Struthio camelus: one gene and its partners. The protein of the gene in region 3 interacts with the protein of the main gene of each other region in a biochemical or structural test. Links are inferred from orthologs where the notes say so. Each region holds a gene or a part of one and is shown on either strand. Other genes may lie near its edges. The genes, in order: CITED2, KCTD15 and TFAP2A.

The links.
Region 1: the proteins of TFAP2A (region 3) and CITED2 form a complex in vitro, tested with the Homo sapiens proteins (2 studies listed by BioGRID, with this or other methods). The link is inferred for Struthio camelus from reciprocal best matches to the Homo sapiens genes TFAP2A and CITED2.
Region 2: the proteins of TFAP2A (region 3) and KCTD15 form a complex in vitro, tested with the Homo sapiens proteins (2 studies listed by BioGRID, with this or other methods). The link is inferred for Struthio camelus from reciprocal best matches to the Homo sapiens genes TFAP2A and KCTD15.

Annotation. Positions count from the first base shown.
Region 1 is NC_090944.1:75,328,657-75,337,060, forward strand, and holds the start of CITED2 (cbp/p300-interacting transactivator 2), read right to left. Parts: upstream 3,067-8,404; 5' UTR 2,561-3,066; intron 1,917-2,560; 5' UTR 1,910-1,916; coding exon 1,193-1,909; 3' UTR 1-1,192. UniProt on the Homo sapiens protein: Transcriptional coactivator of the p300/CBP-mediated transcription complex. Acts as a bridge, linking TFAP2 transcription factors and the p300/CBP transcriptional coactivator complex in order to stimulate TFAP2-mediated transcriptional activation.
Region 2 is NC_090951.1:11,807,025-11,815,362, forward strand, and holds the start of KCTD15 (BTB/POZ domain-containing protein KCTD15), read right to left. Parts: upstream 3,469-8,338; 5' UTR 2,881-3,468; intron 2,740-2,880; exon of another isoform or gene 2,437-2,739; coding exon of another isoform or gene 2,434-2,436; intron 2,366-2,433; exon of another isoform or gene 1,948-2,365; intron 1,547-1,947; 5' UTR 1,473-1,546; coding exon 1,461-1,472; intron 1-1,460. UniProt on the Homo sapiens protein: During embryonic development, it is involved in neural crest formation. Inhibits AP2 transcriptional activity by interaction with its activation domain.
Region 3 is NC_090943.1:101,341,159-101,348,612, reverse strand, and holds the start of TFAP2A (transcription factor AP-2-alpha), read right to left. Parts: upstream 3,346-7,454; 5' UTR 3,221-3,345; coding exon 3,170-3,220; intron 1-3,169.

The DNA of each region.
Region 1 (8,404 bases), on a different chromosome or scaffold from region 3:
TGGCAAGTCACAGAAAAAGTTGCATCTTGGCAACTTTATTTTTCATAAAACCACACTGACAGGCATATTACAATGTTACGTATGAGGCTTTATGCTGTAAGTATGTTTAAATCCTGCTCACCTACTGAGTTCACCATGACATATATATGGGTGCAGTGTACTTTCTATTTTGGAATGTCTTTTTGAACACCAACAACAGTTGTACAGATAGATGTTCTACTTACCAGGGACAGCGGGGAGAGTTTTGAAGAAAAATACTGGTAAATGACTTCTAGAAAAACTAAAGCATTTCTTAACTTTTTATTGACATTGGCAAATTAAAATAGAATAAATTAACAATATTTTCTCAAAAAAATGTTTTGTACAAAAATACTGTCAAAATTTCCTGAAAAGCTTTCAACACAGTAGTATCTTTTCATGTACTGAATAAACTATATTAGCACAGTGTCAAAATGCTGAAGACAGAAACAAAATAATTATAATTAAAAAAAACCAACTGTGAAATGTTTGCCACTAGTCAACATTCCATCCACACCATATTATTGTCTGTACATATGGGGGAGGGGGACTGGGTAGCAGACTTTAAGTAACAGTATTACTTTTCCTGATTCGGAAAGGTTTGGCCCACATCTGTTAAGCTTCCAGTTTAGCATATTCAAAAAAATATATATATATATTTATTAGTCTGCACTGCAATGCATAGTTAAAAAATGAAGCAAGATGGCAGCATTTGTGCAGTAGTATCTGCCCTTCAAAGTTCATGCAACCAACTAATGCAATTTTTTCCCCTGTTCACTCAGAATTTGAATGCAGTTCAAGTCATTGGAAATCATCGTTTACAAAATCCACAAGATTAAGCAATTTGCCAAGATTAATATCTAACAGTTCAGCACTGTGGAAATCATGGGCATGTTACTGCAAGGAAATTAAGAGAGAGAAGGGCAGGGGGAGGACAACATAAAAAGGCAGAGTTAGCTAGAAATTATTCCTACAGGAGGGGAGGTGAGTGTCAAAGCTACCCCAAAAAAAAAAAAAAAAGTGGCAGCAATTAAAAAAAAAAGATTTATACAAGCGCATAGTTTACTCTGCTTTCCAGATTCTCACCTTTTCAAGCCCTGAAAAGTGAGACACTGTGTCTAAGGGAATGTTTTCATTCACACCGATAGAAAGTCCTTTGTTTGTTTTCAATGAATCAGCAGCTCACCCTGCTGGGCTGCTGTTTGCAAACGAAGTCTGTCATGAAGTCAAACTCGTTCTGTCCCAACCACAGCTCGGGCAGCTCCTTGATGCGATCCAGGCCCATTTCGATGACTAAGGACATGAGGACCTCCTCGTCGATGAAGTCAGTGTCTATGACATTGGGGGGCAGCATTGCCGCGGGGCCGTGGGGGCCGGCGGGCGGCCCGCCGCCGCCTCCGCCGCCGCCGTGCTTGGGGTCTCTGCAGTCCCTGAAATGCTGGCTGCTGCCCGTCAGCTGGTGGCTCGCCGGGTGCAAGTCCGGCATGTAGTGGCTGTGAGGGTAGGGGTGGTGGCTGAAATACTGGTTGTTCAGCTTCTGGAGCTGCATGCTGGCTGTGAGCTGCCCGCCTTGGCTGGCCACGGGGGGGGCCATGAACTGGGAGCCGCTAAACCTCGCGGCGGGCGGCATGGTGCTGGGAGGGTGCCCTCCGTTCACGCTCCCGGGCCCCATGGCGTGTCTGATCCCGCTAGTTGCGTTCATATTTCCAGCTCCGTAATGTATATGGTCGCCCATCAAGGCGCTGAAGGCGTGCTGCTGCTGCTGTTGCTGGTGGTGGTGATGGGGGGTAGGAAAGGGACCCATTCCCATCCGATGGGCAGGGTGGTGGTGAAGCCCGCTGGATCCGTCAGGGAATCGCCCGTGATTCATGGCCATCATGTGGTCTGCCATTTCCCACCTAGAAAGTTAGCATGGGAATATATTAAGAAAAAAAAAAAAAAACCAGCCCTCAGACATCAAATCTCCCTCTTCGGAACTCGCTGCATGTATCTGTCCCTGAGAGAAATGACTTGGCTGGTCCCGCCGTCCTCTCTTTCAAAGAGGGAGGAAAAAAAAAAAAATCTCCTACCACGACTCTACCGTAGAGTACAAAGCGAAAAATAAAAGACGAGTCTGCAGTGCAAAAATCTCAGTCCCCTCTGCAAATCCAACGAGCAACACGCCTTCCCACTTCAACTTCTGCATACCTATCAGCGGAAAGCGTTGCATACAGCAACGACCACCTCCTCCCCAACACGTTCAAAAGGCTCCCAAGCCCCCTGGATTTGCCAGGAAAGGGAACATTTTTAAAAGACACTCTCGATAACTTGCAGAGAACAAGCAAAGAATTAAATACGTCCCATCTAGCCCTTGTCAGCAACTTTTGGAATTAAGTCCGAAGATTTTTTTTTTTAAATATAGTACTGCACAGATAAGGAGATTAAGCCACACAGCTGAGGACTACCTTCCCTCCCCCGCCCCCCGTGTATTTAAGCAGTCACATTTTTTCCTGTTGCACACAAAAGGGACACACAACACCAGCCACAGAAGCTCCACACTCACCTCCCTGCTTCTTTCTTCTGTCGCTTCAAAGGTGTCGGTGAAATCAGTCAGTAAAAGTCACCCAGCATAGAGAGGGCTTCCCTGGCTCTCTCCTCTGCGCTTACGTGATGGTGATATTATTGCTATTGCTGCCGCTGCCGCAGACCCAAAGCTGTTTTTCACTCCTCCGCGAGGCTCATCGGCACTTGCCAACAATGAGCTGTGTTTCTTACCCAGCTTTGGCCACAGCTAATATAGGATTTCAGAAGGGAGGAGCAAAACCCTTACAGGCAACCAGAAGTAAAACCTGGAGCAAGCGAGGGGGAAAAAAAAAAAACCCCAGCGCGCGCGCACACGCACGCACACACACGAACACACACACACACACACACACACACACACACACGCACACACACGCACGCACGCACGCGCACACACACACACACACACACGAAGACACGCAGAAAGGGCCAGGCGGATCTGGAAGGCATCCAAGGAATCCTGTTCCTTCTGGCTGAGCCACACGTGTGTTTGCTGATCACTTGTGCTCTTGCCCGGAGGAGCCCGCGCCGCCCACCCGCGGCAGCGCTGCCCGCCGTGGGCAGAGCGGGGCTCCGGGCCGGGCGGTCAGCGGAGCCCCCGCACCCCGCGGGCCACTCACAGCTGGGGGTTCCCCCCTGCACCCTCCCAGCCCAAACTAGCCGGCTCCGCTCTCGCTGCTCGCCCAGCTCCGGTCATTCCCGCCGGCCCCCACCCTGGGGGGGCGCTGCGGAGCTGCGAGGCGCGGCGCCGCCGGCCGCGGACACGCGTGGGGCTCGGCGCTCCGGCAGCGCTGCCCCCGGCTCAGCCAGGCTCGTCCTCCCTTCGGCGGCGCCACGGCCGCAGGTGCCCGGCCCCGCCGGCGCGGGCTCTCCCGGGGCGCCGCGTGGGCTCCCCCGGGGCCGGCCCCTCTCCCGGCGGCGGGATCCGAGATCCACTTTTTTCCACAGACATGGGCGCCGCCGCCGCTGCCGCTGCCCCGCATGCCGGAGGTGGAGGAGAAGGGGGTGCCGGCACACGCTCTCCCTCCACCGGGTTTGCCCCACGAGTTGCCGGCCGTCCCGCGTGGGCAAGGCGAGTGCTGACCCTAGGTCGTTTTGGTGGGTTATTACGACGGGTTTTCTTGGAAGGGCAAAGGAAAAAAAAATGCAGAGCGTGGATACATGCTTTGTAAGCGTGCTCCTCCCGGCTGGGCACGTCCCCTATCACCTATTTGTTCTGGGCAGTACCCTGCCTCACAGTACAGTGGCGGTGACTGGCCCTGCTCCGGCCCAGCAGGGGCAAGAGCGCACAAAATCCCCCGACAACAGCGCTCCTGTGCTTGCAAAATGCACCTCTTGCTCCAAATCTACCAGCTCCTCTCTGAAGGGTGGCTGGGCTGAAATAGCATGCAAACACCGAGGGGGAAGGGCAGAGGCCAGCTGCAGAGAAGAACTGGATGATGCCCTTTTTTCTGTGGTGTCTTCACCTGGCTTCCCCCTCTCCGCACCCAAGACCAGGCACTGGGCCGCTGCCCGCTTGACTGCGGAGGAGGCAGCTCTAGGCAGGCTGCCCCCCAGGAGCCCAAGAACCGTGGGCACCTTTTCAGAGGTCAAAGCAGCCATCATGCAGGCTGAGCTGGAGCTTCTGCTCCTCTGCGAGCTGTCCAAGGACACAAGAGCGTGAGAGGTGCACCAGGTTTCTGAGGGGAGGCATGGGCAAGGGCAAACAGGCCATCAGGAGCAGGCCTGTCAATGCAGCTGGCCTCTTACCCCCTTATGGATGGGCCAGGCCCTTGCTTGGCCACAGCAAATTGCAAAGGCGAAACCAAAAGGAGGGTTAACTCCACCTGTCTCCCGCTGTGATGGAGGCTGAGCTGGGTTCCCGGGTGCAGCAAGGTGCAGCAGAGGGTAATTCCCTGGGTGGCTGGTGCAATCCAAGCAAAGCCCTGCGAGCAGGCAGCCGAGGATGGGAACGTACAAGGCGCCAGAAGAACGCGCTGCAGAAAGCCCAGCTGTGAAGGGTGGCGAGGATAGAACTGGAGGGCTGGGAGAACAGGAAGTCTTGCAAGTGTCAGCATTACCTTGAGGAAGTGACCTCATCCTGTGGCTAGATTTCTTGTGGGATTAAGTAGGATGCCTACCATGATGTCACATTTTGGTCTTCTCATGTGTGTGAGTAGGTGGACTTCTGGGAGGTGCTATTGAAGCAGGGCCTCTTATCTAGCCAGGGATGGTCAGAGAAGCAAGAGCTTTCTACAGATTTCTCCTTCTCGGGGTTGTGTAGGTTTTACAGGGCAAAACAGTGAATAATAAGAAGGTCCTGTTCCGTGTGGCAATTACTCAGCAGAGTATCATGACAAGTGGTTTGTTTAATGTCACATATCCATGGTGAGATTGGTGTGCCTTTTTGCTCTCCATTGCCTTAAGTTTGAGCTCCTTTCTAAAGCCAAATGTGTATTATATCACAACACTTTGAATGCCCATTCCTATTTTTGGTTTTCAGGTGCTGGAAGCTGGTACTGGGTGCTAAAGTTAGTTACGGAGAATTGACATGAGACTGCCAGAAGAAATAGTAGGCATGTCACAGCCTCTGTGACACACTCATACAAAACATATTTTCAGGTATTTATAGCCCATCTGCAAAGAATTAGGCAGGATGGATCTTTCTTCATCAGGGATTGCAATGCGATCCAGATAAAGTTCAGCAGTGTGGTGCAAGATGAGCCAAGTTTTTCATTGTTAGATGGTTTATGGCCACAGCATTCTACAACAAAATGGGAATACAATCAGTTGGTTGCTTTCCAGGAAATGGCTTGAAGACTGGTGACAAGCAGCAAAGGGAATGCAGGACAAAGCATGAATCCATCACTGTAGAGCTACTAGGAAACTATGAATCTCATCTGTTTGCCACTCCTAATCTGAGCCACAGTTATTTAAAGCAATCTTTTCAGTGGTATTCTTCAAAGTCTTCTGCATACCTGAATTGGTTCTTCAGTCAAATAGTAAGAAAGTGGGACACTGCATATCTGGAGAACACAGGAGATGGCCAGGGGAGGGGATGAAAGTGGAGACGTTCACCAAATCACTCCTCAGTGAAGAATCTGAGTATCATTGAAAGCAGAATGTGACTGCTGTGCCCATCTAGAAAGAATCACTGAGAAATATCAAATACAACAGTAGAAAAGAAGGAAAAAGATGGATCCTCAGGAGGGTGTTAACATTTTCAGTCAGAAGGGCATACAGGAATTGACCCTGGAGGCTACCCTGCGCATTCCTTCCCGACTGGAACATCTGCAGAGTGTGACAGAACAGAAAGGAAAATCAAAAAGGAGAATCCAAGATGATGTTTTTCCAGGTATTTGCTGAAAATGTTAAATGAATGCTTGCAGTTCTAGGGATACATCACAGGAACTGGATATACAGGGCAACGAATTTCAGGAGGACTTGGATCTCTAAGTCCTTTTTGGCAACCCTGAAAATACAATCTGTAACTCACTGTGACTTGTTTCTCCCATATCACCCTGGAGACAAATTTCTGTGTGTTCCACTCTGGCACAAAGCAGTCAGGAAAACTCAGTTTAGGACATCTGCTAGGGTTATCTGATGGGAAAATTTATATTAGAATGATATCCTGGAAGAAATGCCCTTTCTGTAGAAGTGATTAAGCTTGAGAAGCTTATTGAGAAGGCAAGTCATGATTTTCCAGCTACTCCTGTTTTTGACCCGCTCACAACTTCCTTCAGTCCGACCCGTCCCAGGGGCACATGGCACTTGGGAGAGAAGAGGGAACTGTGGTGCCGGAGGGCCACAGCTCTTTGCTTTACCAGCAGTGAGGCTGGATGGCTCTGGCTGGTTTCATTTTCTGTCTCTAGAAAAAACGATGAACTTGACAAGCATGTTCCAGATGGGCACCCAGGAAGCATAGAAATCTATTTCAGTCTCTCAACATGCATTTTTTTCTCCTCGAATTTCCCTTTGTGAGAAGAACAGTGGTTTTTGGTCAGTGGGATAAAAAAGTAGGGTTTTTTGACTAGGAGAAAATTCCATTCTTTGGCATGCTTTCCTGAGAGACCCATTTTGGGGGCTGACCTGCTGGAAAGCAGCTCTGAGGAGAAGGACCTGGGAGTGCTGGTGGACAACAGGTTGACCATGAGCCAGCAATGTGCCCTTGTGGCCAAGAAGGCCAATGGTATCCTGGGCTGCATGAGGAAGAGTGCTGCCAGCAGGTCGAGGGAGGTGATCCTCCCCCTCTACTCAGCCCTGGTGAGGCCTCATCTGGAGTACTGTGTCCAGCTCTGGGCTCCCAATACAAGAGACACATGGAGCTCCTGGAGCAAGTGCAGTGAAGGGCTACTAAGATGATGAAGGGACTGGAGCATCTCTCCTATGAGGAAAGGCTGAGAGAGTTGGGCCTGTTCAGCCTGGAGAAGAGAAGACTTGGGGGGATCTGATCAATGTGTATAGCTATCCGAAGGGAGGGTGTCAAGAGGATGAGGCCAGGCTGTTCTCAGTGGTGCACAGCGATAGGACAAGAGGCAACGGGCAGAAACTGAACCACAGGAAGTTCTGTCTGAACATGAGGAAAAACTTCTTTCCTGTGACGGTGAGTGAGCACTGGACCAGGTTGCCCAGAGAGGTTGTGGAGTCTCCTTCCTTGCAGAAGTTGAAAAGCCATCTAGACACAATTCTGAGTAATGTGGTCTAGGTGACCCTGTTTGAGCAGGGGGTTTGGACTAGATGATCTCCAGAGGTCCCCTCTAACCTCAACCATTCTGTGATTCTGTGATTATTCTTATATGGTTTGATGGGGGAAAGTGTACAGTGGGCACAAGGTTAGCTATGGGCCTGGGCATGAGATCCTCAGAGTATCTCAGTGGGAGGGAATGACCTTGCTTGTTCTTCAGTTTGAATAACAACAAAATCAAGACTACAGAACCAGAAGAGAGAGGTTTACTTCAGGTTGACTCAGTTAGTTCAGTACCAGGCACAAGCTTCCTAAAATTGTCACAGTTCCCCTCTGCTGCTTCCAGACACCGGCCAGTGTTCCCCAGAGCTTACCATCTGTCCTTCTGTTTCAATGATCTTCTCTATATGGGAAGGCTACTGTTCAATGAGATAAAGTAGTCCGACATATAACTATGCAGCCCAGGTGTGGAAGAGATGACCCAACAGGAATTTTTGTCAGTAGTGGTGTATGTTAGAAGGAATTAACGGATTGATGTCCAAGCAAAAGAAAATCTGTGCTGTGTTCCTTACAGTTGGTCAGCATGGGAGAGTAGGTGGAAATGTAAAGAGAGACAGAGCATGCGCTATCTCCGCTAGTCAGCCTAGGACTCATTTTTTCTTTGCTGGGTTTCACAAGGTAATTGATGTCTCTGCTGATTAGAAGTGGTTACTCTGCTGAGAACAGTGGTTACCAGTGTATTTATTAGCAACAAATCTTTATAAAGAGCAAAGAGAGTTACTGAAAGCAATGAACTTCCCAAACCATTTGGAGGTAAGTTAAGGGTTTCATGAACTTGCATCCCTTGTTTGTGTGCCAGGAGCCAAAGATGTACATATCAAAGTAGTTTTCTAAATTAAGGAACATGGGCTATGCAAATTGTGCTAGTCTCTCCACCCACCTTTTCCTGTTTGTTTAGATGGCTCAAGATAGTAATATATTTATAATGGTAATAATGAATGTGGCTTTGCACTCTTTGTCTGTATTGTCTTTTTCCTGTGAGAAAGTCTTGGGAAGGGTGACAAGCTACATCTTTTTACTTTAAGCTCTGTCAATGCAGTGCTTCAAGCCTGTATAATCACAACTGACAGATACTTCCGTAAGTGTAATTTCATTGCAAGG
Region 2 (8,338 bases), on a different chromosome or scaffold from region 3:
CCCAACTAGTGGCACAAGCAATAACCCTGCTCTAATAAGTAACACAGGAACCTGCTAACGGCAAAATCAATAGAGCCTGATTCCCAAATTATCTGAATATTTAGTTTTTCAAACATTACACGCCAAGATCTTCGAGAGCCAGCTTATCTTTTTCTGCCTTTCTAAGCTAACTGCATAAGTACTGCTTGTAAAAACTATTTGCCCATGCAAAGTGAAATAATCACAATGCCATGCTCATTTACACACAAAATGATTTTGTGTCCCATTGTGCTCACAGTTGTTCAGCTCTCTAGGGGTGATTAAACTAGCTATGCTGCTACAGCTTGAGATGATTTCACTGAATCGTTTCTCCATGAAGTTGCTTCTTTGCTAAGCTGTTATTTTAACCATAAAAGGTAAACAGAAGGCAGTTGTAAGAGCTCCATTCAGCTCCGTGCCCAGGGCTATAACCCTAGGGCAGAGAATGCTGAAAGACTGCAGAATTTTCCAGGGTGTTGCCTTTCTTGCTCTAAAGCCTTCAGGAATACTGTTCATTTAATACACACTCTAGATGATACATTTCAGATCCTACTAAAAGAAAGACTTCAAAAGTGTAAGAACTTTTGGGCGGATGAAGCTTTCCCACCTCTGCACATAGCTCGGGGCCATGGTAACCAATACTGCTGTTGATGTTGGGAAAATACAGTAGAAATAAACTGCGCAGAGCAGAGCAGACAGATAGGGACAAGGGAGGTGAAAGGTTGCAGGGAAGAAACAAGCAGCAGTCTGGAAGGGTAACGAGAAAAAAGGGAAAAGAATGAAAAAGGAGGCAGCTCTGAAGGAGGGACAAAGTTAAATCAAGGAACAGACACTTAAAAGACTACAGATGGGAAGCAAGACTAATTAAGGATGTAAAAGCGCTTTGTTTCTAAAGTTTATTGTTGCCAGGATAAAAATTAATTGAAACTAATGCTGTTATTCACTCGTGCAGTTTAATTCCTTCATGCACATTTAAGACATGAAATGAAAACTGCAGGTTTAAGGACCTGCCATGAAACAGCTCTCCCCTCCCCAGAAGACGTGGGAAGGGGGCATCCCGGGCCCACATGCAGCCAGCTAGCGGTGGGTAGCAAAGGCGCAAAGTCCAGTCTGCGGCAGGACCACTGGCTCGTCTGTAATGAGATCAGCACCAACATCTGTTCCCTGACTGGTTTCTTTATTGGATTCGCGCTGAAGCTTTTCTTCCTTTTTTTTTTTTTTTTCCCTCCCCAGAGCCCTTTATTTCTTTAACGGCAGCTCTACCATAGCTCGAAGAGTAAAATCACCCACTGCAGCCCCTCGACCTGCCCATCTCCAGCACTCCTGGGCAACACCAGGCACAGAAGTTGACCTGGCGCTGCCGTGACTTCACGGCGGTGCCTGCGCTTGCAGCGCCCGCACCCCGCTCAGCCAGGGGGTCCAAACTCCACACTCGCAATTACCTTTGTCTCCATAAACCCGTGCAGTGCGCGCTCTGAATCTGCCTCCTAAGCCACTCGCAGACAATAGTTTATGCCGTGAACCCAGCCTAAAGACAAAGAAGGGATCGGGTTATTTGAAACCTCTGACCAGATGGCTCCAAAATTGAAAGTCCATAAACATTTGCACACACCTCCACGCTGGCTCACAAAATACCCGACCGAGTGACAGAGCAGATCGTGCCCAAAACTTTTACGGGGGAGGGGGGGGGTCTCACTGTGGAGCTCCCGTTACCGCCCCCCCCCAAAAAAAAGACAGAAAAAAAAGAAGAGAAAGAAAAAGAAAAAGGCTTTCTCCTCCCCCCCCAAGCCGCCTGTCTCTGGCAGTCTCCAGTCTATTTAGTGCAAGTTTCACGTCACCCAAATGCCTTTCCCTGCTGATGGTCAGAGAAATCACCAGTAAGCAACGCACCCCGGTCGCTGAACTTCTGCCTTTTTCTTTTAAACATACCGTATGCCCAAAGGTAAATTCAAGCAAAAAAAAAAAAAAAAGAAAAGGCACAACATGGCGTCCTTTACTTATTCTCACATAACAAGAAAGGAGATGTCTTAGATGAATGCAAAAAAAAAAAAAAAAAGGAAAAGCCGACTCTCCGATCCTATACATGCTGTGCACAGCCAATGGTGGTGCACATTAGCCAGGCTAATGTATTAATTTTGCAGAAGTGTGCCACATCGCACGCAGCAGCAGCGATGCAAACTATAGCCTGGAGTGCTCGGAAGTCTCCCCCGAGCCGAGCCGAGCCGAGCCGAGCCGAGCCGAGCCTTGCACTCTCACTGGCGCCAGAGTTTCATTCACCGCCCGCCCGCGTTTCCCTGCGCGGCTCGCCCCATTGTCGCCCGCCTTCCCTTTGTGCCGCGCCGGCCCCCGCGCCCCGGCCCGCGCACCCCCGCGGCGCGCAGCCACCCCGCCCGCCCGCCGCGGCCCCGCGCGTACCATGCGAGCGCGCGGAGCGAGCCGCGCTGCCTGCGCCGCGCCGGGGCTGCGCCGTCCTCAGAGCCGGGGCCGGGGCGGCAGCGGGAGCGGCAGCGGGAGCGCGGGCACCCCGGGCCGCGGGGCTCCGCCGGCGCTGCCCATGCTGGAGCGGAGCAAAACAAAACATACACACGCGCACGCACAGCGCGCACACACACCACACACACACACCGCGCGCACACACCGCGCACACACACACAGGCGCGCGCGCCCGCTGCAAACGCGTCCTGTAGCTTTAAAAAGCACCAGCCCTCCGCCGCCGCCGCTGCCTCTCCGGAGCCAAGAGCCGAGCGACTTTCAAGAAGAGGCACTTTCCAAAAAAAAAAAAAAAAAAAAAAAAAAGGGCCAAGGCGCGCCCGGGCGATGCAGCGCCGCGCCGGCAGTGCGCGGCCGCGGCCGCTTGCTTACCTTGCGCGCAGAAGAGAGCTGCGAGCGAGCCCCCCTGTGCTCTGGGCTCGGCTGGGTTTGTGTGGTGATGGGCTCGCTTTTGGCTTTTATTACTATCTTTGCTCCTCGGATCCTGCTGTGATTATTATTATTTTTAAAGCTGCTCTCGCTCTCTTTCCCCTGTCTCGCTCCCTGTTTTTTTTTTTTTTTGCTGCTTCTATTTATTTTGTGTGTGTGTGTGAGGGGGGAAAAAAGCCTTTAAATGAAACTGCCGAGGCTGTTATGAGAAGAAAGGCAATAATCCCGTCTCTAAATAACAGAGGGAAGGGAGAAGAGGAGGAAAAAAAGCGAATTCTTGCTCAGGGCTTTGCAAACGCCTGCAGGGCAGAGGATTAGGCTACAATTAGCTCAGCCCTTTGCTCTCGCCCGAGCTAATTTTGCGATGAAAATTGGATATTTTTCCCTCCTTTTGGTGAGGATTTCCAGATTTATTCCCCCCCCACTCCCACCCCCCGCAAAAAAAAAATAAAAAAATACAACCCTTGAAAATGAAACACGGCTGGGAAGGCGGCCGGCGCCGCAGCCCGCGCCCCCGGCGCCGCCGCCCGCAGAGCCCCTCCGCGCCGCGCGGGCGGGGCCGCGGCCCGCGCAGCCCCGCGCAGCCCGGCCCGGCCCGGCCCTGCCGGGGATAACGGTTCGGTGTTGGGGAGGATCAGGCCACTGTCACGTCCTTCAACAGACTTACTGAAAAGAAGAAGGAGGAAAAAGGGGGGAGGGAAGGGGGGGGGGAAAAGCTGATTTTAATCATTGTCATTTGGTCTGATGTAATATTTCCCCAGGCATTTTCAACGGGGCATAAATTTTCAGCTCCCAAATAAGTAACACAGGGCACGTTTCTCACATCTCTTGACTCCTCTGTTACAATTAGGGTAGCACCCACTCTGCACTTGTTGATAAACTAGATCAAGTTTAAAAATAAATAATAATAATAATAGCCACCACCTCCCGCCGCCCCCCGGGCCGCGGCCAGCCCCCCCGCGGCGGCGGGCGCAGACGGGGCCGCGGCCGCGGCCGCCCCCTTCCTCCTCGCCCTCCGCTAATGTCTCGCATTGTAAACGCCAAATTTCCTGTAGGCCATTAAAACCAAATGACGTCTATCGACATGCATTGTGCTCCGCCGAGCGCGCCCTGGCAGCCCGCCCCCGGCCAAACGCGCCAGCGCAATTAGAGCGCGCGGCGCCGCGGCGCGGGGCTCCGCGGGCGCGCACCGCCGCCCGCGCGCCGGGGGGGCGGCGGAGGGGGGCGGAGAGGGGCAGGAGGGGGGGGGAAAGGGAGGGGGGAGAGGACAGCAAAACCCGCCCTCAACTTTCAGCCCAAGCAGGCCGAGGTGGCTCTGCGGCGCCGGCGGGTTTGGGCAAGCGCCGTGTGCTGCCCGCGCACCGCGCCCGCGGGCCCGGCCGCGGGGTGATGGTCGGCGGGGAGGGGTGGGGTGTGGGGGGGGAACAGGCCGCTCCGCGCCCCACCGCGCCGCTGCTCCGCGGGGCGCCCCGCGGCCGCCCGAGCCGAGCCGAGCCGAGCCGGCCCGCAGCGCGCCCGCGCAGCGGCGTGCGGAGCCCGCGGCCGGCGCTGACTTGCGGGGCTGCAGCGCCTACTAGCCGCGGAGCGCGGCGCGGCCGGCGCAGCGTTACGTAACGCGCCGCCGCCGCCGCCGCCGCCGCCGCCGCCGCCGCCGCCGCCGCCGCCGCCGGGGCGCTCGGGCCGCGGGCGCGCGGAGGGGGGGAGGGAGGGAGCGCGGCTGCCGCCGCCCTCCGCGCCCGCGCCCGCACGGAGCAGCGCGAGGACGGCAGAAGCCCCTCGAATGGAAGTTGTTTTTTTCCCTGTAAAGTTATCTTCCGTGGCAGGAATAAACCGAAACTTTTTTTCCTAAGGGTAGCTCTTTTTTTTTTTTTTTTTTTTAAGAGTACAAACTACAGGAGAAGAGGGAAATTTTCTCATTAAAGTTACATCCCTGCAGTTAGTTCAATTACTTGATATATGCAGAAGATGTTGTAAATTTAAAGATTTAAATAGCTTACAAAGATGCCGGAGGCTCCATCAGTTAATTTCCTTAATTTATGGATTTTTAGCTGAGCTTCTGAAATGAAAAGGAGAATGAGAACTAGGTCAGCTGAGAGATTTGCATCCAGAACAGACTCAGATTTGTTTTCCTTGACCATCCCATGGGCCCAGGTACGTTGGCTCGCAGGGGTCACGGCTCCACCGCCCCCCGGGCCGGGCCTGCCCGCAGTGCCTAGGCGGAGCGCACGGCACGGTGGGCTTTCTTCTAAAATAACCCCCCCCGGCCCCCGAGCATAAGCCTGTCGCCCGGCAGCTGCCTCGCCTGGTCGTTGGACGAGCGTCCCTCACCGGCCGCGCTGCTCAACAAGTGGAGGAGAAGGAGGACAAGCGCCACTGAGGCTCAGCAGCCTATTACGCGGCCCCGGTTAAACAGGTCGCGTTCGCTGGGGTGCAGGCAGACTGCTTGGCAACTTAATTTTTACTTCCTCTGTGAATTACTAGCTGCTAAGTGAAAAATAAGTATGATCATCTTGGGCAGCGATCAGAGCATCACAGAAGTACGATGCTTCTGCGTTAAAGCACGGTAAAGAAGAAAGAGAAGATCTAAAAATATTGCACTGAACAAAAAGCAGAAATTGGTTTCTGACTCATCCCAACACGTCTGCGAAAGGCACCATTTAGTCGTGCTACACGGCAAAGGCGTGCAGGGCGAACGAAGATTGTGTGTGTTTGTGAGTATTTGGATCAAAGCAAAGACACACGGCAGTGCTTGGGACGAGGAAGATGTGCACGCGGCGTGTGACTTGTGAAGGGCTGTTCTTACGGTGTCTAGAAAAGGACAATGTACTTGGGAGCTCTGAGTTTTCGTCTTGCCTGTGTTGCTGCTGAGGGTAATAAAGGTGTGCAGTATAGCTCTATGTGCGCTCACTCATTTCTTTCTTCTCATTCAAGTGTTCTTCTGTTGTTGTATTTCAATATGTATGAATATATACATATGAATTAATACTTAAAAGATTGATACAAACTAAACAGTTTTAGGAAGCAGCATTGCCATATGATTAGTATTGGTGTTCATGATTTAACATTTCTTTTCCCACTAGATGAAGTTTCTAAGATTTGCAAGGTACATGTCAAGGACGGGTATATAAATGGATTTTTATTTATTCACAACTCCAAGACTAATTGCTTCTCTTTGCCTGAAGGCCAAGAGATTGGTTTTAATATGACACTTCAAAAGTATTCATAGAACTACAGAGATACTAAGTGTCATTGTTTAAGAGAGAAATCTCGCTGTGGTACTTGTGACCCTGAAAATAGAATCTTCCACTTTATTTTAAATTCTAACATTGTTTTTCAGAGTTTCACTTAAAGCTGAACTATTAAGAACTGTACAAAGGAAAATATTAAATACTATGTAGTGAACAAAGAAGTAATTTTAGAAGTGAACATAACTTACTTTCTCAAAATTCTGTTATGCTCCTTATAAAGCAATGCAAAATTTATGACACAAGATTCCTGAGCTCAGTTGTAGGATATAATTAAAATTGATAGGTTATAACTTATCATAGGCGCTCTAAAAGTTCTTGGCTAAATGCTCAGCATGTGTTTTTATTAAGATATTAAATACTTCAAAATAAATACTTTGCATCTTTCTTATCAACAGTTCTTTGTATTCTGTGCAGATGTTTAAAATTGGACAGCAACATTTTGTAACATGCGTTTTATCTTATTATTCCATAGTTTGTTTCATTTTTTTCAGTAAACAAGTCGAAAACTTGTTGTCACTTTAATGCAATGTGAAATAGAAGCCCATAAAGAACCTCAGTGCATTTTCTCCAGTTTTTCATGTTTTCCAAAACCAACACATTGTGCATATTTTCCAGGATGGAAAATGACCAAGTCATGAAAAGATACAGATTTTAAGGTATATAAATCTATCAAAAAGATGTTCCATATATACATACATATACACACACACATACATATATATGTATATATAAAACCAGATTTCAAATGTATTGTCTATGTGAAAGGAAGTATTATGAACTGCAAAATAACATGAGCTTCTGTTTACACCATGGTTTCTAAACTGGAGTATCAACTTCATAACTTTAATTCCTTATTGTTCTTAAAGGCCCTGCATGAATTTATTCTAGCAGGCCTTATCCTAGCTTACTGCTTATTCTTTTCCTTGTATTGTAAGTCCTAACTTGAGGCTTCTTATGTTGTGTATCTTAACCTGAGGTTTGATCCTGGCTTCCTGGCGACGATACTGATATTTCCAGTAACTTCAACAAGGCAGAAAGAAACCTACAGACTACCTGATCCTCCTCTTTCAAACACCTCATACTCTCGTGGGCATTTTCAACTAAAGCAGTGAATAAGCGATAAAATGGATCATTTAATGAAACGTTTAAAGCAAATAAGTGAGAATTAGATTTTTGTTCCTTTAGAACAAAGGAGTCTATGTCTTTACATAGATTCACACTCTTCCCAGTCATAATTAAGAGACTGCTGTATTCTAAATAGAGTTTGATTTGGGCAGGGGGATGATTTGAGTAGGAAATTCGTGCTTCAAAGCTGGTTGTTGGACTCCAGTGTGCCTTAAGTCAGTAAATCGTATGCGACTTTGTTACCTTCTGTGAAGTTTCATGGATGTGACGGAGTTTAGCCGCCTCTCGCCGAAAGAGAAGATGGGCCGCGGAGGCTCAGGGAAGAGCCGCGCGTCTCACCGCCGAGAGGAGGCAGGGCCCGGATCCTGTGACTCGCACCAGCCCCGCCGCGAGGCAAAGAGAGATGGGAGCAGAAGGTGTGGAAAGGCTGATGCCACACAGGCGTTGAGCCAGGGGGAAAGGTTTATTCCTGTGAGAAACCTGAAAATATTAAGCACCTTGAGATTCCAACACTTGCTACTGTCAGTTGATGTACAAGGAGTACAAAAAGAAGCATTAAAGACCTCTCCCAGTTCAAGCAAGTTTTCAAGCCGGTTGCCACGCCGGTCATTCTGGAATGGGAAGTTGACCTGGGGTTTGCTAATTAAAACAAATAATCGTCTGTCATTTGTAGGCAGATAAGGGATTTCCTGGGAGCAGTAAGCATGAGCATGCAAAGAACAAAATCTGATCATTAGGAAATCAATGAGTTTTGTCACTCTTTTTCCTTGAATGATCTTCTACTCTTTTCAAGAAACGAATTGCTGCTGAGTGAGTTTACAAACCATTACTTTATTGACTAAATTCAGACAGAGTTTTTTTAAACCATCCATTATCCAACTCCTAACTCATGACACCAGTGTGATATAAAGAAGCAATCCACACTGGAACACAGAGATTAAATAGCTTGTCAAGAAATACAGTATTGAAAAGATTTGCTCATCTCTTGTGTTTCCAACTGTTACAAGCCAAAAATAGTACCCAAAATG
Region 3 (7,454 bases):
CTCCTGCACCGCGGGCGCGCCACGATAATCCATCAGAACTTGCACCGATTTCTGCTGCCCTTCATCTGATGTTGCAAAGGCGAGCTCTCTATCCTGGCGTGATATGAGGAGTCAAAGTTGGTTGCTTTTTTTTGTTTTTTTGGCTTTTTTTGTTTTGCGCTTTTTTTTGGCTTTTTTTTTCTTTTTAGTGTGTGTGTTAGTTTCTTAATCCTTTTTTTTCCTCTGTCTCTTTCTTTCTTTTTCTCCTTTGACTTAGCTGCCGCTTCACTTGAGCTCCTAATAACAGATCTGCTGCCTTCCTGGAGACTCCTAATAGCAGATATTCATGACTATTAATATTACACGAATACTTAATAAGGGAAGAATGGCTGGAAATCGAGCGTGAAGCGAGAAGGCAACTCAAGGCAGAGCCTGTTCTAAATGACGTCCATTGAATGAAGAATCAGTGTATCTAATCAGAGATGGGGGAGAGGGAGAGAGAGAGAGAGACAAAAAGGGAGAGAGAGAGAGGGAGAGCGAGAGGGGGGACATGCCGCTGCGTCTGACGAATCACAGGAAAGGGGCAACATTTTAAAAGGTTGCAGGGCATGCAAAAGTGAAAGAGAAAGAGATCCGGAGAGAGGGAGAGGGTGGGAGCCAGAAAAGGGGTGGGGGGGGAGTGCGGAGGGGGGCGGCGGGGCGAAAAGGAGAAGGGAGGGGGAGAGGGATCCCCCCTCCCCGTCTCTCCCCGGCCGCCCCGTTTCCCCCCCCCCTCCCCGCGCCCTCCCCAGCCCGGCGGTCCGGAGCGGGGCGCACCTCGGGCTGGTGCTGCTGCGCGTAGCCGGCCTCAAACGCCAGGGAGAAGAGCGGCTGCTGGCTGCCCGCCGCCGCCGGGCCCTTGCCGCCCTCGGCCGCGCTGCCGCCGCCGCCGCCCTTGCGCGGGGTGGGCTCCGCGGGGGCGCCCCCCGCCGCCGCCGCCCCGTCCATGCCCCTCGACGGCGCCCCGCGCCCGCGGCTGCCCGCGCCGCTGCCCCCGCGGCGGCCGCCCCGCCGAGCCGCAGCACCTCCGCGCCCCGCGTCCCGGAAACCGGCTGGGAAAGTTTTTTTTTCTTTCTTTTTTTTTTTTTTTGGGTGTCTCCCCGTCTTCTGATTACCCCTCCTCCTCCTCCTCCTCCGCCGCCGCTGCCGCCGCCGTCTCCCGCCCGGCGGCAGCCCGGGGCCGGGCGGCTGGGGCGGCAGGCGAGCATCCGCCGGGCTCCCGCGGCCCCTCCCGGGGGTCGCGGAAAAGAAGAGGCGGGGGGGTAAAGGCAGCGGGGAGGGGCAGGGTGGCAGGGCCGGGCAGGGGGGGAAGGCAGAGGAAGCCGGGGGCAGAGGCAAGGCGAGCGCTTCTCCCGGCCCAGACAAGCCGAGGCTCCGGCACAACCCGTCAGACTGGCTGTGCAACTCCCGGCAGCTCCCCCGACCGGCTCCGCTCCGCGCCGCTCCGCGCCGCTGCCCGCTGCCGCGCTCCCTCGGCGCCCGCCGCGCTCCGCGCACCGCCCCGCCGCTCCTGGCCCCGCGCCCCGGGGAGCTATGACCTCCCCGGGCCGTGAGGGGGAGCAGAGGGCTCCTGGCCTTTTTATTCCTTTTTTTTTTTTTTTAATTTTTTTTTCCTCCCCGAAAGCAGGTCCTACTCCCCGTCAGGGCAAAGCCACCCGCTTTTCCTTCCTCTGCAAGTCAGCTCGCCGCTCCTATCTGCTTCCAAGCAAAACCCCGGCGACAAACCGCACACGGACACACACAGACAAAAGCCACCGGGGCTCCCGGGAAGCGGCCACCGCATCGTGTTTGGTAGCACCTCGGTGCAAAGTCCCATTAGCACAAGGCAACAAAAGCCATTTACGATGAAATCCGCACACTCGCACGTGCACACATAAACACCGATCCTGGGGAGAAGAACGGGTCGAGACATGGCTTTCTCCCTAAATCCAGCTGAGGATTTTCTTTTTTCGCCTTAAAAAAAATTAAAATAAAATACCCTGACACCTCGTTCCTTGAAATCAAGCATCCGACAGCCGCTCGATCTCAGAGCTCAGCTCCCATACTGGGAAACAGCTTTATCCCGAACTGCTCGATCCAGGGCTAAAATACTGAATATTTTAGTCCTCGCTGCGTCTGACGAGTCCTCGGTCCCTTCCCTACCCTAACGGCATCACAAAAAGCAGCAGCGGTTTCGGATGGGAACGTGCCCCCCCTTCTCCCCCGAAATGTGTGTCGGAAAGGCTGCCGCCGAGGCTGGAGGTGCCTTCCCGCATGGGCTGCGACCAAATAAATACATTCATTTGCAAAGTGGAATCCTTTATTGCGGGGTTTAAATGCACTGCACAGGCAACTTTGGCGAAACGTGTGACAATAATATTCGTTGGTTGGAGGCTAGGCATTTGTCCTGGGCATCACTCTTCTTCTTTTTTCGTCTTCTTTTCCCTTTTTGTCAGATTAATAGACACTCGCCTCGCTCTAAAAATATGGATGCACGTACACACACTCATGCACACAACCTGTGCTGAACGGCTCCAAAACCAAATTAGGTGATTTTTAATTTTTCGAGAGTTTAAAATATTACTGCTCAAAGCCATGGGAGTGAGCGCCTGAAAATTAGGAGGTTGGGGGAATATAGCTCCAAACCCCCTGATTTCACTCCAGCAAGTGACCACTGAAAAAAAAAAAAAATGTACAGCTCGGCATTACCAAACCAGCAGCTACCTCCAAGATGCTTACTTTAAGCGCCGGTCCTGAGCCAATCTATTGGGATGCCTCGGGTACCTAGCATGTAAGAATAATTCTTTTCCCTTTGTCTTTTTACCCTTTCATTCATTCATCCGTCCATTCATTCGGCCATCCATCCATCCATATGGATGAGTGTAGCATCCTACAGAGCCTTATCTATACAGGATCTACCTATAGACAAGGCTGCTGCTGCATTCTCCGTCCTGTTTTTCTTTCCTCATATACTTCCGACAAAGCCGGCTTTCCACAAGCCCCGAAGTTCCTGGGGAAGGATCCCCAGCCCCTTTCCAGCTGCAGGACTGCAAAGAAGCCTGGCGAAGGAGCAGAAGTTTTCCTAAACGAAATTCAGAGATCGATGGATGCTGCAGCGTCCCGCTCCCGGCTGGCGGGCCAGGGCTCTGCCCCAGCCCAGGAAAGCGCTTACCTCACATTCCTCATACTTGATATTATCCGTCAGTTTCCAAAGCATTTTCATGGATTGGCGTGAGAGAGGATTTGTTTCTCCCTGTCTTTCCCTAAAGTGGTGCCTCTCTGGTATGCAGAGTGCGGCTGGCGGAGGCTCTGCCGAGCTCCTGTGCGCGCTCTGAGATCTCCCTCTAATGGTAGAAACTTTTCCCTTTTCCAGCTCTTTACCAACAGCCTAATCGCCTCATTAGCATATCAACAATAGTCCAATTGCTCTCCAGCACAACAACCTGCAGCAATGGACACAGGTATAAAGGCCCCACGAGCAGAAAGGCTTTCTGCCAGCCGCAGAGCCCGGGCGCGGGGGGAGCCCGCCCCGGCGCGGCGGCTCGCAGCCCACCGCCGCCCGCTCCCACCGCGCCCGGGGCCGCCGGCCGGACACCAGCGGGCGAGGGGAATCAGAGAGGCTTCATGTGCACACGGTTTGGGGCTAGCCATCGAGCCACCACTTTTTTTTTTTTCTCCTCTCCCCGGGGTTTAAAGAAACCAAGGAGAGGGGAAATGAAGCTCTAACGGGGTTACAGTCTGCGGAGGCTTCTGTTGCCCTCTGGATTTGATTTGATCTTTTAGGGGGGTGTATTTGGAAAGCGTCCTTCTTCTGTAAAATTTTGTGTTCCTCTCGGCTCTTTCGGCTATTGATCTTCCAAAAAAAAAAAAAAGATATACAACGTAACCTCCCTGATAAAACTGGGTGCGCAGCAATGCGAATACATCAGGAGCCAGAAAGTCTTTTGCATGCACTTCAGCAAAGGGACAAAACAATGACCATAGTAAAACTTTGGTCGTTCCTGAGGTGGAGCGCTTCGTTTGCTTAACAATGTGCAGCTCAATGAGCGTTCATTCTGCCCTCCTTTAGGGTTTCTTTTCCACCCTTCTTTTCTTTTTCCCAGGTGCCCAGCCTTGCTCCATGCATTTTCTCTCATTTTCCTCGCCGATCCCACGCCGGTTTAAACAGCTGGGCCGAGCCGCGGTGAGGCCCAGGCCTGCCAGCCGCTGAGGCTGCCCCAGATCTGGCCCAAGCCCGCCGGGCTCCCAAATCCGCTGAGGAGCAGGGTGCCCCCCCGCTGTCCCGACCCGGCTGGGAGGGGGAGCGGGAGCCCCCGCACACGCCCCAGCTGGCTCCCCGCCCTGCGGGTTTCGGCTCCCCAGCGTGCAGCGGCCACCTCAAAATTTCCCGGTGCCAACGGGAAACCTGCCCTTTCGGTCTGGGAGCCCATCACCCGGGGCTATCCACCAACGTCGAGGCGGATTTAGTGCCCCGCGGGGCCAAGAGCCCCCGGCGCGGATGGCCGCGGGGGGAGCCGCACCTCGGCCCCAGGGTGGCCCTGGCGCAGGCGCTCCCCAGAGCGGGGAAGGGCCGCGCACACGCCTCTCGTCGGGCTCCCAAAGCCTAAGGGCTCCGGGGCCTGCTGGTTCCCCTGCACCCTCCTCTACCCCCTCAAAAAAAAAAATTTTTTTTTTCTTTCTTCTTCCCTGCCCCCCCCCGTCCCCGATGGTCTTTTTGACCATCGCTTTTGTCTGCAAGTGGCAGGAGAGTAAATTGTTGTTTTTACTCCCATTGAGGTTCAAATGGAGCTGGCAGATTAAGCCTAGTTAATACGGGGGGTGAGGAGGACTAGGAGGCGGGGGGGGGGGGAATAACGCATGGGGCCATCACGACTTAGCGCCGTCCCGGTGGAGCCAGGGGGCGGCCGGAGCGGCACGGCCCGAGGGGGCGACTGCGGCTGCCGAGGGGCCTGGTCCCCCCGGGGCCGGCTCTGCCCTCGGCCCCGCTTGTGCCCCGGGGGGGGCCTCTTTTCCCTCCTCTGCCCCAGGCTGGGCTGGCTCAGGCGTAGCGGAGAGCCCGGCTTCCTCTCCCCCCCCCCCCCCAGAAACGCGTCCCGGAAAAACGGGGAGGCGACGCGCAGCGCGCTCCGCGCAACTTGCGCGCCCCGCGGGGGTCAGCCCGACCCCGCCGCGGCCAAGCCAGGCGGGTGCCCCGGCACCGCCGGGGGACGGGCAAAAGCGAGGAAGGGACGTAAGATAAAGTCGGGAAGAGATTTCAAGGAAGATAGCCCGAAAGTGGGATTACATAAGAGTTCACTTCAGTACAAGAAAAAAAGGAAAAAGAAAAAGCGCCCTCTCTTTCGGTCACTTCAACGCACCGAGCTGATAAAAGGACGGCTGCTTTTACTGTAAAAGTGCATATTTGTTCACTGCATTTTCTTCTTTCTTTCTACTCTAAGAAAATCGATGCGGCCCAGAGAAAGACTTAATTGTGGCATTCGAGAAGTAGAGAAGAAGGTGGGCTCCCATCTTGCACCGGACTGTCCTGGAAAAAAAGTCGTTTTCGCTAATAAAGACCTAGGTGTTTGAACAGGACAGTTCATCTTCTGCTTCGTTAGTTGGCAAAATCTCGGCGCTCCAGCCTGCGTGGCTGCAAAAACCAGGAAGCACTAACGATTTCGGGGTGTCTCCATGTGGGAGTCCGCTGTAAGTCCACACGTGTCAGCTTGCCTTTGGCTTGCGGTGGTTTTTTCCTCCCCCTCTCTGGTGGGACCTTTTGGGCGGTTTGGGTAAGGCCCAGGGAAGAGAGGCACCTACAGCCCTTTCCTCTTGCTGCTTAAACTCGTTCAGCTCATTTTTTCTCACGCCACTAGGACCGTCTTCATCAGAGGCTCCCGACACTTATTCCGCAGCGTGGGATCCGGGAGCGTGGTTTTCGCCGAGGCTGCCCCGGGGGAAGCGCTCGCACACCCGCCCCCCCCAGCCCTGCCCCAGGCCCGCCGAGCGCACCCCTCGCCCGCCCCGGCGAGGCCCCACTGCTCCCCTCGGTACTTTTAAGCGATCCTGGAGACGCTCGGATCAAGCCACAGGACTTTGTCGCCGGCCCAAGGGATCACACGCGTCCCTTTGTGAGCCCCGACGGGGCAGACTCGCTGCCCCCGCCGAGACCGGCGCAGCTCAGCGCACCCCCCACGCCGGCCCGGACTGCCGCCGCTGCCGACCTGTTGCGCCAAGGCCTGGCCGGAGCGAGGGGCCACCTCGGGCCACAGAGAGCCGCAGGCGAGGAGCCCCGGCCCCGGCTTTGCCCCCGCTCCCTGCCCGGCCCCCGAGCGGGGCTCCGGGCCACTCACCTTAGCGGCCGCAGCTCTGCCTCCCTTCCCAAAGCAAAAATTAAAAATAAATAAATAAAAAAGGAAGGTCGCATTACCTGCCAGTCCCCCATTTTGGCAAGAATAGACATCCTGGCTGCGCGTTGAGTATCCCCAGCTCCCTGACGGTCATGGACTGCGAGTACGAGCCGCTCGCCCGGGCTCCCCGCGGCTAAATCCTGCCCTTACCTGCACCAGGACTGTCTCACCTGGCCATAAAGAGCTGGGTGCTCCCTGCCCGCGCCTGCGCGCTGCCTGCGCGCTGCCCCCCGCCGCCTCGCTCCCAGCGCGCCCGGCCCGGCCCGGCCCGAGGGGGCGGCCCGGCCCCGGCCCCCCAGCGCTACCCCCGCCGGGCCGCCGAGGGGGGCGCCGGGGAGGGGGCCCGTGCAGGGGCGCCTGGAGGAGGAGGAGGAGGAGATGGGGAGGAAGAGCTGTCGGCGGCACCTCCACGCGTGCCCGTCCGTGCGAGGGGCCGGGCGGCGGCGGGCAGCGCCCTGCCCCGGCGGCACCCCCCGGCTCCGGCCGTGCCCTGGGCACGCTGCCCCCGGGGCAGCTGGCGCCGTGCTGCCCCGCTGCTCCCCCCTTTCCCCCCCCCCCCGCAGCACCCTGACGGGGCAACGCTGCCCGCCGGTAGGGGGGAAGGTGAGGTCCCCCCAAATCTCCCCTTCACCCCTCCCCCGCCCTGCCGGGCCGGTAAATTTTTTTCGGCGGCAAGTTGCAACCGAGTGCGTGTCCGCCGCCAGCTACAATAGTGATAATAATAACAATGCCCCAACAATAGCAGCCCCAAAGACAAAGTAAAGATGTCCGGGGGGGGGGGGAAATAAACCAGCACAAGTAGGGAAATGGAGATGCTGTGAGCGGGGGGGGGGGGGCTAGGGGGAAACAAAGAGCGGCCAAATGAAGACGATCTCCCCCAACTCCCTTCCGTGTTAAGAGGGTCGGGCAGGGGGGGGCAGCCACCCGCAAGGTGGGAGATGGGGCGCCGGGGGCTCTCTGCGCCTGCGGAGCGGGTCCAGACGGGATGCCCTCGCCGCGCAGAGCCCCCCCGGGGCCCCGCCGAGCTGCCCCGGCGGAGCGGAGTCAGCGCAGGCTGGGCCCTGCGGGCTG